Macaca fascicularis: one gene and its partners. The main gene of each other region encodes a partner of the protein of the gene in region 3 in a complex. Links are inferred from orthologs where the notes say so. Each region holds a gene or a part of one and is shown on either strand. Other genes may lie near its edges. The genes, in order: RILPL2, RAB3IP and RAB8A.

Region 1 (4,309 bases), on a different chromosome or scaffold from region 3:
TGCTGAGCTTTCTGCCTGAGACTATCACAAACCTCCAATGGAACCTAAAATAACTTGAGATTTGTTGTGCTTTTGTTTTGAAACATGGTCTCACTCTGTCACCATGGTCTTACTCCGTCACAGGCACCACTCTGTGGTGCGATCTTGGCTCGCTGGAGCCTCAACATCCTGGGCTCAAGCGATCCTCCCACCTCAGCCTCCCGAGTACCTGCCACTACAGGCATGAACCACCGTGTCCACCTAATTTTGTTTACTTTTTGTGGAGATAGGGTCTCACTATGATGCCCAGGCTAGTCTCGAATTCCTGGGCTCCAGCAATCCTCCTGCCTCAGCCTCCTAAAGTGTAGAGATTAAGGCATGAGCCACAGCGAATAACTCAAGTTTCTAAGCCACACTGCTAATATTCTCAGTAATATGGATTCTGCATATGTGTCAAATGCTTTGTGATTTTCAGACAGGGGTTTCTCTCTTGTTAATTACGCCTGCTTCTCTCACCCAAGTAGCAAGGTGTCTCCAACACCAGCAATTCCTCCCCAGCTCTGTGGAAGAAAGAATGAAGGATCACAATCACATCTGTAAGTGCTTCCTAAGTGTGTGAGGTGTCACACACATTATCTCATAAGTTCATGTTCCTCGCAGCAACCCTGCCACCTGGGTCCCGCTATTGTCCCCATTTTACAGAAGAGGAGACTGAGGCTTGGAGACGTTAAGTAACTTGCCAAGGTGGCAGCGCCGGTTACGTGGAGGAGCCGAGGACCCAGCGAAGTGAGCAGGGTAGGAATTCCCCATTTTATTGAGAGTCACAGAAGTCAGATGCCCCAGGCCCTAATGATAATTTGCTGGGAGTTTTCCAGATCCTCAAGCCTTGGGGACTCTGTCGCGCTGCCCACAACAGCTGCTTTCTGTTTGGCCGCAGGTTCCAGAAAACTCCCTCAAAGAGAGACCCGAATCTTCCATCACGTACGATGCAAATTCTACGGCTGGAAAGCACGAGAGTAGAAAGGAAAAAGTTGCTTTCTTTTTGCTCTGCTCTCGATTGCGCGGTGGAAACTCGGTCTCCACGGGAACGCGCCTCCCGGCAGCGGTCGCCAGGGGCGGGGCTCAGGGCGGCTCCTCCCCCGGGCTGCAACTGTTCCCAGGCTGGGGGGATTGCCCTCACCCCTGAACTTTCCTCTTCTCGGACGCCCTCCTTTTCTGTTGTCCCTTCGCGCCCCAAACCACAACCTGGAGCGCACTCGCCCGCGCGGCCTGCAGCAGGGACGGTGCGCCAGGGGCGCAGGCCCTAGAGTCGCGTGCGCGGCCCCTTTTTCCCCTTCCCCCCCGCCCCCCCCGGGCCCACCCCCGGGCCGCGCTGATTGGGCAGGTAGGGACTCTGCCCAGCGGAAAGTTTTGGGTGCCGGGAGGAAGTTCAACCTTTGGGAGACTCCAAGAGAGCAGCTCCGGGGTCGGCGGGGGTCTGGGTGGCCATGGAGGAGCCCCCTGTGCGAGAAGAGGAAGAGGAAGAGGACGATGAGAGGGACGAGACTGAGGACGAGGAGAGGGACGAGGCTGGGCCCGAAGGGGCGCTGGGCAAGAGCCCCTTCCAGCTGACCACCGAGGACGTGTATGACATCTCCTACCTGTTGGGCCGCGAACTTATGGCCCTGGGCAGCGACCCCCGGGTGACGCAGCTGCAGTTCAAAGTCGTCCGCGTCCTGGAGATGCTGGAGGCGCTGGTGAATGAGGGCAGCCTGGCGCTGGAGGAGCTGAAGATGGAGAGGGACAACCTCAGGAAGGAGGTGGAGGGGCTGCGGAGACAGGACCCTCCGACCAGCGGGGAGGTGAGTGTTGGGCCCAGAGCGCCTGCGGGGCGTAGGAGGGCGCCTACTAGCAGGAAGACACCTTCTCTTTTCTTTTCTTTTCTTTTCTTTTCTTTTTTCTTTTCTTTGCCTTTCCTTTCTTTTCTTTTCCTTTTTTTTTTTAAAGAGATGGGATCTCGCTGTGTTGCCCAGGCTGGTCTCAAACTCCTGGCTTCAAGTGATCCTCCAGCCTCAGCCTCCTAGAGTACTGGGTTTACAGGTGGGAGCCACCCTGCGGGGCCAGAATCTGTATTTCTAACGAGTTCCCAGTTAATGCTGATGCTGGTGGCCCCGGGTCCAGTTTGAGAACCTTTGACCTAGAGCAACAAACACAATTTTTTTTTTTTTGACACAGGGTCTTGCTCTATTGCCCAGGCTAGAGTACAGTGGTGCAAACATGGCTCACTTACAGCCTTGGCCTCCTAGGCTCAAGCAATTCTCCTGCCTCAGCCTTGCGAGTAGCTGGGAGTACAGGCATGTGCCACCATGCCTGGCTAACTGTTTTGATGTTTTGTAGAGATGGGGGTCTCACCGTTACCCAGGCTGGTCTCAAACTCCTGAGCTCAGGGAATCCTCCCGCCTTGGCCTCCCAAAGTGCTGGGATTGTGGATGTGAGCCACCACACTTGGGCAAGAAACACATTTTACCTAAAGAGAAATTAGTGCATATGACCACAAAAAGACATAGACAAGAAGATTCCGAGCAGCTTTAGTCTCAACTGCTGAACTGGAAACAATCTAAATGCAACCCAGTTTCAGTTTTGAAATTGTGATATATGGAATACTGTGCAACAGAAAAAGAACAGGGTGCTGATACACATAGCAGTGTGAATGAATCTCACAGATGTTACATTGAGAGAAAGAAGCCAGGCACAAAAGAGAAACTACTGTAGATTTTTTTTTTTTTCGAGTCAGAGTCTTGCTCTGTTGCCCAGGTGTAGTAGTGCAGTCACGTGACCTCGACTCACTGCAACCTCCACCTCCTGGGTTCAAGCGATTCTCCTGCCTCAGCCTCCTGAGCAGCTGGGATTACAGGCACTTGCCACCATGCCTGGCTAATTTTTTTTTTTTTTTTTCTTTTTTAGTAGAGACGGGGTTTTGCCTTTTTGGCCAGGCTGACCTCAAACTCCTGGCCTCAAGTGACCCACCCACCTCAGCCTTCCAAAGTGCTGGGATTACAGGCGTGAGCCACCGTACCCGGCCTAGGTTTTTAAAATTCTTGTCGAAACTCATTCATGTTATGACCTACTAGCAGGTCTCCAGCCACAGGTAAAAAAAAAAAAAAAAAAGCTGCTGTAAGTGGACGATGTCTTTTTTAATCCTCACACTATTACTGTTTTACAAAAATGAGGCACAGAACAATTAAGTAATTTGCCTGAGGACTTAACGGCAAGTAAGAGGTGAAGCCAGGATCTTCATTCAGAGATGCTAGCCCTAAATACTCCATCCTAAAATGCAGACATTTGACCTTACTTGTTGTACTAACATTTGATGAGTGACTGCAGTGACTGATGCTAGGCTCTGGGGCTATGGAGATAAAGTAGACAAGGTGCCTGCCCTCAAGAAGCTCACATCTAGTGGGAGAGGCCAGACACACAGTCCTAGAACCAGGACACAAGTATACAAACCGGGCCAGGCGCAGTGGCTCACACCTGTAATCCCAGCACTTTGGGGGGCCGAGGCAGGCAGATCACTTGAGGCCAGGAGTTCGGGACCAGCCTGAGCAACATGGTGAAACCCTGCCTCTACTAAAAATACAAAATTAGCTGGACCTGGTGGCGCACGCCTGTAATCCCAGCTGCTCAGAGGCTGAGGCACGAGAATCACTTGAACCCAGGAGGTGGAGGTTGCAGTGAGCCGAGATCGTGCCACTGGACTCCATCCAGGGCGACAGAGCAAGACTGTCTCAAAAACAAACAAACAAACAAAAACCAAGTATACAAACCAAGGCTGGGCGCGGTGGCTCACGCCTGTAATCCCATCACTTTGGGAGGCCGAGGCAGGCAGATCAGGAGGTCAAGAGATCGAGACCATCCTGGCCAACATACTCCGCGTCTACTAAAAATACAAAAATTAGCTGGGCATGGTGGCACGCGCCCATATTCCCAGCTACTCGGGAGGCTGAGGCAAGAGAATTGCTTGAACCTGGGAGGGGGAGGTTGCACTGAGCTGAGATCATGCCACTGCATTCCAGCCTGGCAACAGAGCAAGACGATTTTGTCTTAAAAAAAAAAAAAAAGTATACAAACCAAGAAGTAAGCCTGGAAAGAGCAGGAACGAGTCACTGAAATTCACAGGGAAGTGTGAAGTTTCCCAGTAGCTTCCCTGGTAACTTTTTTTTCTTATTATTATTAATTGTTATTATTATTTGCCTCATACCTTCTCTGACCCCGGTAGTTTATTTCACCTATTCCTAAGTGATGGTGACAATTGTATTTCTAGATAATATTCTACTTTAGTATCTGTCAAGTG
Region 2 (4,209 bases), on a different chromosome or scaffold from region 3:
AAAATTAAAAATAAAGCTACTGCATCATCTAGCAATCCCACTTCCAGGTATATATCCAAAAGAAAATTGCTATTTTGAGTTATGTGTACTTCCATGTTCATTGCGGCATTATTCACAGTAGCAAAGTTATGGAAACAAGTTACATGTCCATTGATGAATGGATAAAGAAAATGTGTCAGGAGACCCATCTCACATGCAGAGACATACATAGGCTCAAAATAAAGGGATGGAGGAAGATTTACCAAGCAAATGGAGAACAAAAATAAGAAAATGTGGGGGGTATGTGTGTATATATGAATACTACTCAACCTTAAAAGAAAATGGAAATCCTATGTTTTGCAACAACATGAGTGAACCTGGAGGAAGTGAAATAAGCAAGACTCAGAAAGACAAATGCTACATTATCTCACTTATATGTGGAAGCTAAAGCAGTCGAGCTCATAGAAGCACAGAGTAGACTGGTGGTTGTCAGGAGCTGGGAAATGGGAGAAATGGGAGATGTTGGTCATTGGTACAAAGTATCAGTTATGCAGGATAGATAAATTCTGAAACCCAATGTACAGCATGACTATATTGTATGTGACAAATTTGCTAAGAAGGTAGATCTTGTATGCTCACCACCTCTCGTGTCCAAAAAAAAGGTAACTTGGAGGTGCTGGATATGCTAAAATAAAAACAAAATGATATGTATATTTCAGTGCTCCTATTTATTAAAGCAGCGACACTAATTTGTGTATTGTCTATGGCTGCTTTCACATTGCAACAGCAGAGCTAAGGAGTTGCAATATGTATACATAGTGTTTGACTCTACAGAAAAAGTTTGCCAACTCCTGGTATAGGTGATACTTATATCATTTTCAGCTTCAGAAGGACAGTGTGATGGAAAAGTTTCAAACTTTTTTTGAGTCTACCTTTTGATGTTTTTTGTCAGTTTTTTAAAAATTCTGTAAAAGTTCTGCATGTTATCTTTTTAGCAACTGATCCTGCCCTAGTCTAGTGCTCATCTTTCCTTTTGGGGCTCCAGTTACATGTGTGTTATACCTTTTCACTGTAACCCTTATGTGTGTAGTGGAAAAGTCACCTAAAATTTCACATCACTTCTAAGTTTACTTCACTGTTTTGTTCTCAAATACCTTCAAACACATTTTAAAAACAAACAAAAAACTTGTGTAGCTTTTCTAATCATTCTCCATTTGAGGTTTGGTCCAAACTGTATAATCCACTATTAATGAAAGCAGAGTCCATTTCCAAAAATTTAGTCAACTATTCTCTCCATAGTATGAATTACTTTTGCATTTAAAGTTAAAATGTTACTTATCTTGAAGGGTCAGATTAGCTGTGTTTATTATTTTTAAAACATCACCAAATAGTCTTCTGTTGACAGCCACATATCCCAGAAAAATTCAGCAAATCTGAAACAATTGTTACTTTTAAAGGGAGACTATTTAACTCATTAAATTTGACAGCTCTTAAGGACTTTGCCAAGATAGCCAGAATAATAGTGCATGGAATATCTTCATGGTTAATATAATTTTGTTATAAATCATTGATAGTAAAGATTCTCCTATTTAAACTAATATAAGCTGCAAATTCACATTCAGGGGCACATGCAAACTACAATCATTACAGTAGTGTAAAAGCAGATGAACAAATGGGAAACAGTCAAACTCTGATGTAAAGAACTTCCACCTTTCCATTCTACCTCTGTGCATAGACCTAGTGAGGGTGCCATTGTCAAACTATTCATTAAATATCTTTGAAGCTCATTTTCTTCCTTCCTCTGATAAATTGTGAATTGAAGTTCTAAAATGTAAGTTCTTAAATCCCAGGGCACTATCTCAAGCACCCTATATATATGTTTCCATTCTTAATCCCTTATAGGGATTATTCTATACAAGGGCATAATCTTTTAAAAATAAAAAGATCATGTCTTCCTTAACAAAACTGTAAGACTTCCTTAGAAAAACTGTAAGGCTTCATATTGCATTTAGAATAAAACCTGCAATTCTTACCCTGATATTTTATTTGATTAATCAGAATGTAAGCTCCTTAAGAGCAGGGACTTTGTCCTTTCCCAGAATGTAATCAGCATCTGGAGCAGCACCTCACGAGGAGATGACATGAGTAAATGTCTCATGAATAAACATTATATGAATAAAATGAATTAAATGCCTAGAGTTTCATATTTGTAGTACTGAAAGATTAAAAATCTATTAAAGGGTAAACTCTGATTTGCCTTTTTAGGTTGCTCTGCACAGAACAACACTTATACTAAGTGACGTGTATAATTTTGTGAATCTTTTTATTAAAAGCTCTAAGGCGGCTTAACTGTCATTACTGTAAACTGCAACATTATTGGTGTGTTAATGTTTTTACTTGTCCCTCCTGTATGTCTTTGCTATGACTAATAAGAATATATATAGTGACCACATTATAAAAAGCTGACTGCAAAGGAGGTGGCTTTGACATGTTGGTCATTGTTTGCCTTCATCACATTTACAGTCCTTATGCAAGCATTAATCAGGATGATTGATCTCAACTTGGCTGCCTCGGTGGTAATAGGTCCTAAAAGAAGGCACCTATTCCTAATGCCTCATAGTTGTCTCTCTGTTGTCAACTGCTGCTTCCATAGTTGATATTGAGTACTTATTTTGGGGCTAAATTCTGGTAGTATATGTTTGCTTCAATCATAAACACTTGGCAAAAGCTTTTTGAAAACAAATGCTACTTTGTTTCTAAAATGTGAGATGTTAACTTTTTCAGGAAGCTCATAAAATGGTGAGAGAAGCAAATATCAAGCAGGCAACAGCAGAAAAACAGCTAAAAGAAGCACAAGGAAAAGTAAGTTTTTGCTGCTCTTAATAGTATAAAATAGTGGTGACTGTTTTAAAGATACCTTAACATCTGTTGGATTTTATTCTGATTGTAAAGTAGTGCTTGTTTTCAATTTGGAAACTACAGAAAAATAGAATAAAATAGCTACTATGTAGATATAATTAATAGTAAACATTTGGTGTCCATTTATATGAGAACCAAATGATTTAAAGCCTTGTAAATCACATGAATTATCCAAAGGATTATAGAATCACATTTTAATGTTAATACTTAGTTTTTAAATTCACTGAGAAAAGCCACCTAAATGTTATTAGATTTTACTGTTTTAGGAGTGAACTTCTACAACTAGTCATAAGCTATTGTATTTTGAAGATTTTGAAAATTCACATAAATGTTAGCTATTATGGTAATTTTCAAAATTTGATTTGACATTGTGAATAATAGATGAATCCAAACCATATGGAAACATCGAAAAACTTGATTTTAGTTTCTCTTTATTACTCCACAGGACATACAAATTACACTTACTTTTCATCTTTGAAAGTGTTTTGACCAGATTGCTAATATTTAGCTGCATTTGTCATGAAACATATTTAATGTATGTGACTATGTTGATTTCTTTCCAAGATTGATGTACTTCAAGCTGAAGTAGCTGCATTGAAGACACTTGTATTGTCCAGTTCTCCAACATCACCTACGCAAGAGCCTTTGCCAGGTGGAAAGACACCTTTTAAAAAGGGGCATACAAGAAATAAAAGCACAAGCAGTGCTATGAGTGGCAGTCATCAGGACCTCAGTGTGATACAGCCAATTGTAAAAGACTGCAAAGAGGTAACTCGTCAAGGACTGTCCCCTCTGACTCTGTTGATACTTGTTAATTCTCATCACTGAGGTGTCAGTTATCATTTTTGCCAGCAAAATTTTTAGTACAAAATATTCAGTATTAAGATGGGGGAGGCTTTATCTAGAGCTGGCTGCTTTCAGGGATTCTTCAGTTCCATTTTCTACCTGGCTGACCTTGGAGTACCTGCTAGAAACTTGGTAAGTTTCTTAATCTCAATATTTCATTAAGGGAGGAAACTGTCATGTGTTGTCTAGAGGAGAGTGGGTGGCTTTAATGATCTGGCTAGTCAATGTTTATTGCTAGAGTGCACTTACAAAGTGTGGATATAAGAAATATGTGAAAATAAGATTATTTTCTTAAAGATCAATACGTTGCTTATATTTAAATTCAGAGAGAGAATTCTATATCAGCAAAGGAGTCCTAGAGTTAATTCGGATAATTAAGCAACAAAAAATAGAAATAATGGTAGCCTTACAACTACGTGAGGCTGGAAGACATTTTGCTAAGTGAAATTTCAAGTTATAGTAGAA
Region 3 (4,209 bases):
ATTGCTGAGAGGATAGGTGTCATCAGTGCTTTTGGAGTTAGGCCCCCCAGGCTTGAATCTTAAAGGTCACTTCTCTGTGCCTCAGTTTCCCCTTGCATTGCATGGGCATGTTTGCCCTTGTCCACAGCAGTGGTGTGGCTGTGGACCCAGGCTGAGGCGGGGCTGCCCCGAAGCTCTTTCAGGACCCACGGGCCGTCTCCCAGTTGCTCACATCTAGGTTAGGGAACTGGAAGGGCCTCGGCGCTCCCGGCTCCATCTTCACACAGCTGGTTCCCTCTGTGGTGGGGTCACTGGAAGTTGCGTGGATGTCAGGTCAGGACTCCCTGGGCTCAGTTGTGCCTGAGAGGTGGCTCAGGCAGAGCGTGGGGCGAGCAAGGGGTGAAGAGGAGGCCGATTGCAGGGGAGGGTCAGTGTGAGGGGAGCACTGCTGGCAGTGGGCCTGTGGAGCAGCTCCCAGCATCAGGCTGCACCGCCCCGTGGGCCATGAGGGGAGCCAGCCGGGCTTGTCAGCGAGGGCGTGGCAGCGGCTGGCCTGTGAGGCAGAAGGGTCACTTCAGTGGCCCAGGGGGCAGGACAAGGCTGGTGCCAGAACCCAGCAGAAAGGCCACAGGGATGGAGAGGAGGGGGCTGGTTTCCAGGGCTCCACAGTGGTGGGGAGGGTGGCAGCTAATGGGCCTGGCTGTGTAGTGGGTGCTGGGCTCCCCACCACTGTTCTCTGGTGCCGCCGCGGCCTCCCTTCCAGAGCCTGCAGCCCATCAGGCACCTGTGTCTCCTCTCCCCGCTCAGGGCATCATGCTGGTGTACGACATCACCAACGAGAAGTCCTTCGACAACATCCGGAACTGGATTCGCAACATTGAGGAGGTGAGGCCCGCCAGCACCTCCCACTGTCCCTGCTTCAGTCCTTGTCCCAGAGCCCTCTGGTTTACCCATGAGAAGGCCAAGGTGCAGAGACACAGACAGGCCACTTGCCAACAGCCTCCTAGTCAGGGACACGGTGGGAGCAGGGACTGAGATGCAGGCAGCCGACCCCAGGGACCACACACTGGCCTGGCCCCACCCAGAGCCCCTTGGATCCCACCCCTCCAGCTGGGCTGTTGGATCTGGCCGGTGTCATGGTCATAAGAGAAAGGATATCCAAGCTTGTGGTCACCATGAGTGTTGGGTGCTTTCTAGAGAAGGAAGGGTCTAGCACAGGTGTGACCCTTGTAGTTGGAGGGTGTGGTGAGCAGGCGTCAGTTGTACTTTGAGCTATATCGGAGCAGGGTGTGACCTGGTGCAAACGACCTGTGTTCAGACTTTGAACCATAGAGGGGTGAGAAGGAGGCCAACCCCTCCTCCCCTCCCAAAGCCAGCATCTTCATCTTCCTGCTCCCCAAAGAGCTGACCTCACCCCCAAAGCCTTCCCGGCTGCCGGCACCTGCAGCTTTTGATAACTAACCAGGTGGGGCTTCAGGTCTGAGGCACAGCCAGAGAACTTTTCCCATCTATAAAGCCACAGCAAAAGGGCGTATCACTGTCCACCCAGGACTCATGGACCTCCCAGGCCAGGCCGAGAGGCCACCCCCTCATTTATGAGTCATTGCATTGGGCTCACCTCCCCAGTGAGCCTGAGAGGGCTGCGCCCCAGCTGGGGAAGCTGTCTTCATCTGTGGAGAGGGGAGCCTGGTCTTTGTGAAAGGTCTCTGTTTCTGGCCAGCGGGCAGGAGCCACCTTCTGGTTCATGGGAAGTAAGGCAGGGAGTGGCGCAGTACGTTCCAGAGACCAAGTCTGAGCTGGTGGAGGAAGACAGCAGTTTCCAGTGTCCCTGTCCTCCAGGAAGTGTGGTCTGCTCCATGGGGACCCAGGGAGGCTTGACGAAGGAGCCACCTTTGGGTATGAGGGCAGAGTTAGGGCAGCACCACACAGTGTGGTGAAATGCCTGCGGCCACCTCAAGCACGGCCTGTTTCTGGAGCCCAAAAAGAGAGAGTTGAAATGTCAGGGCCAGGCGTGGTGGCTCACGCCTGTAATGCCAGCACTTTGGGAGGCCAAGGTGGGTGGATCACCTGAGGTCAGAAGTTCGAGACCAGCCTGGCTAACATGGTAAAACTCTGTCTCTACTAAAAATAGAAAAAATTAGCCTGGAATGGTGGCAGATGCCTGTAAGCTCAGCTATTCGGGAGGTTAAGGATCGCTTGAACCTGGAGGCGGAGGTTGCAGTGAGCCAAGATCATGCCACTATACTCCAGCCTGGGAGACAGAACAAGACTCCATCTCAAAACAACAACAAAAAAATGTCAGAGCAGAAGGTCCCAGGACGACAGCTGGGGCCTCTTGCAGAGGAGCTGGGGAGGGAGGGAGGAAAGCAAAAGTCAGGGGTAAATATCTCAGCCTCACTCACCTCCCATAGGCTAGACCCGCCCAGCAGCCCAGGTGCGGGGGCCTGATTGATATAGCCATAGAAGCTGCCAGAAAGCATTTCAGAAAATGTACATTTGCTCAGAGTAGCAGCTAGAACTCTGGCCCCGGCCCTGGCATTGACTGTGACTTGGGGCCAGCTGCTCAGCCTCTCTGAGCTTCAGCTTGTCCCTTACGCCAGGCTGTACCTAGCAGTCCTGACCCCACTGCTCTGATTTCTGGGGACAGGCTGTGTGTTGGCAAAGGCACCTAGCCTGTGTCATCCAGTCTGATCCCCCATCTGCCCCCTCCCTCTCAGCACGCCTCTGCAGACGTCGAAAAGATGATACTCGGGAACAAGTGTGATGTGAATGACAAGAGACAAGTTTCCAAGGAACGGGGAGAAAAGGTGGGCATGGTGGCACAAGGGGCAGAGGGCCTCGGGGTCTTGGGGTTCTTGTGCAGAGGCCTTCCCCGGTGCCTTCCCCTGTCCCTCTCTGCCCCAGGGGCTTGGGATAAGTTGGTCACCCCAGTGGGGCACGTGCCGTGGGATGGCAGAAGCACACACCCAGCCAGGGCTTCTTGGGTGCGCTCTGCGGGCAGCTCATCAAAACCTACCATGGTCCCACTCCAGGCTTTTAAGACCACAGGAGTGGGGAATGGAGCCATGGTTTGATCCCAGCAGGCCCCTGCCCCCCTCCCGTCTCAGCTGCCATCCCCAGCACTCCATGCCCTGCGCGGCACTGTGGAGGGGCATTCACAATGGGCTCCCCACTATAGAATCAAGGGAGCGACCCAGGAAGTCACTGCCACAGCCCCAGTCCCGTTGCTGCTCCCTCTTGGCGCCAGCCCCGCCTTCAGCCCCTGTTTTGGGCAAGCTCAGATGCGCCCGGCAGCTGGTGAGCTCACGCGTGTGCCTCCCTCTCTCACAGCTGGCCCTCGACTATGGAATCAAGTTCATGGAGACCAGCGCGAAGGCCAACATCAACGTGGAAAATGTGAGTCCTGGGCCCTGCTGGGAGACATGGGGCCTGCAGGATCGGCTCCTTCAAGCTGAAGGGGGAGCTGGCGTCCTCCGAGGAGGTCCTGCCAGAGGGACCAGCCTCGGGCTCAGGGCTGCCAGTCAGTCCTCTGAGGGACATTTCCTGGGCAATGCCATGTGCCAGGCACAGGCAGCCCGTGGGAATGTGGTGCCATCAGCACGGGCAGGCCCCACACAGGGCACCTAGGATGCATCTCACGGGCTTCTGGGCAGCCCTGGAGAACAGGCATGGTTTTACAGGTGAGGATGCTGAGGCTCAGAGAGACCCAGCCCTGTGTTTACACTCTCAGCCACACCACTTATTGTGGAGAGGTCCCGGTCAAAAGCCCAGACGCAGCAGGGAGCCCTGATGGGACCTGGGCCCATGCCGCCCTCCCCTCTCCACGGGGTGACCCCAGCCCTGCAGCTGACCCTGTGATGTTTCCCCATCCTAGTCATGTTTCCAAAGCAGATCTTCCACGTCACTCCTGACCTAAAGTCTCTGTGCTGACGTGAAGACAAAAGCTAGACTCCTCGCCTGGCACGGAAGGTCCTCCCTTGCCGGCTACTGCTGGTGTTTGCCACCCAGGACTCAGGCCTTGCCCACCCCCTCCTCCCTCCCAGGCCACCTGGGCTGCTCCCTTCTCCAATACTTCACTGCGTTCCCCTCCTGTGTGCCCCGTTTTCTGCCTGCCAGGTTCCCTTTTCTAGTCAGGGCCCGGCCCAGGGGGCCCCTCCCCAAGAACACCTTCAGCCTCCCCTGGGCCTTCCTCTGTACCCCAAGCCGCTCTCCTCTCCAGAACCTCCCACG

The links.
Region 1: the proteins of RAB8A (region 3) and RILPL2 are in contact, whole or in part, in a crystal structure (PDB 6SQ2), measured with the Homo sapiens proteins. The link is inferred for Macaca fascicularis from reciprocal best matches to the Homo sapiens genes RAB8A and RILPL2. Residues at the interface, in NP_005361.2 of Homo sapiens: Ile41, Gly42, Ile43, Asp44, Phe45, Lys46, Ile47, Lys58, Trp62, Phe70, Ile73, Tyr77; in NP_659495.1 of Homo sapiens: Leu135, Leu138, Arg139, Leu142, Gln143, Arg145, Asn146, Lys149, Ser150, Leu153, Glu157.
Region 2: the proteins of RAB8A (region 3) and RAB3IP are in contact, whole or in part, in a crystal structure (PDB 4LHX), measured with the Homo sapiens proteins. The link is inferred for Macaca fascicularis from reciprocal best matches to the Homo sapiens genes RAB8A and RAB3IP. Residues at the interface, in NP_005361.2 of Homo sapiens: Lys10, Phe33, Ser35, Thr36, Phe37, Ile43, Asp44, Phe45, Lys46, Ile47, Trp62, Ile73, Ala76, Tyr77, Arg79, Gly80; in NP_783322.1 of Homo sapiens: Ser199, Arg202, Asp203, Gly206, Leu209, Glu210, Thr213, Ala214, Phe217, Glu218, Ala220, His221, Val224, Asn228.

The regions. Positions count from the first base shown.
Region 1 is NC_088385.1:130,571,505-130,575,813, reverse strand, and holds the start of RILPL2 (RILP-like protein 2), read left to right. Parts: upstream 1-1,391; 5' UTR 1,392-1,466; coding exon 1,467-1,820; intron 1,821-4,309. UniProt on the Homo sapiens protein: Involved in cell shape and neuronal morphogenesis, positively regulating the establishment and maintenance of dendritic spines. Plays a role in cellular protein transport, including protein transport away from primary cilia.
Region 2 is NC_088385.1:76,564,006-76,568,214, forward strand, and holds part of RAB3IP (rab-3A-interacting protein), read left to right. Parts: intron 1-2,763; coding exon 2,764-2,841; intron 2,842-3,462; coding exon 3,463-3,666; intron 3,667-4,209. UniProt on the Homo sapiens protein: Guanine nucleotide exchange factor (GEF) which may activate RAB8A and RAB8B. Promotes the exchange of GDP to GTP, converting inactive GDP-bound Rab proteins into their active GTP-bound form.
Region 3 is NC_088393.1:16,440,968-16,445,176, forward strand, and holds part of RAB8A (ras-related protein Rab-8A), read left to right. Parts: intron 1-786; coding exon 787-864; intron 865-2,696; coding exon 2,697-2,786; intron 2,787-3,309; coding exon 3,310-3,375; intron 3,376-4,209. UniProt on the Homo sapiens protein: The small GTPases Rab are key regulators of intracellular membrane trafficking, from the formation of transport vesicles to their fusion with membranes.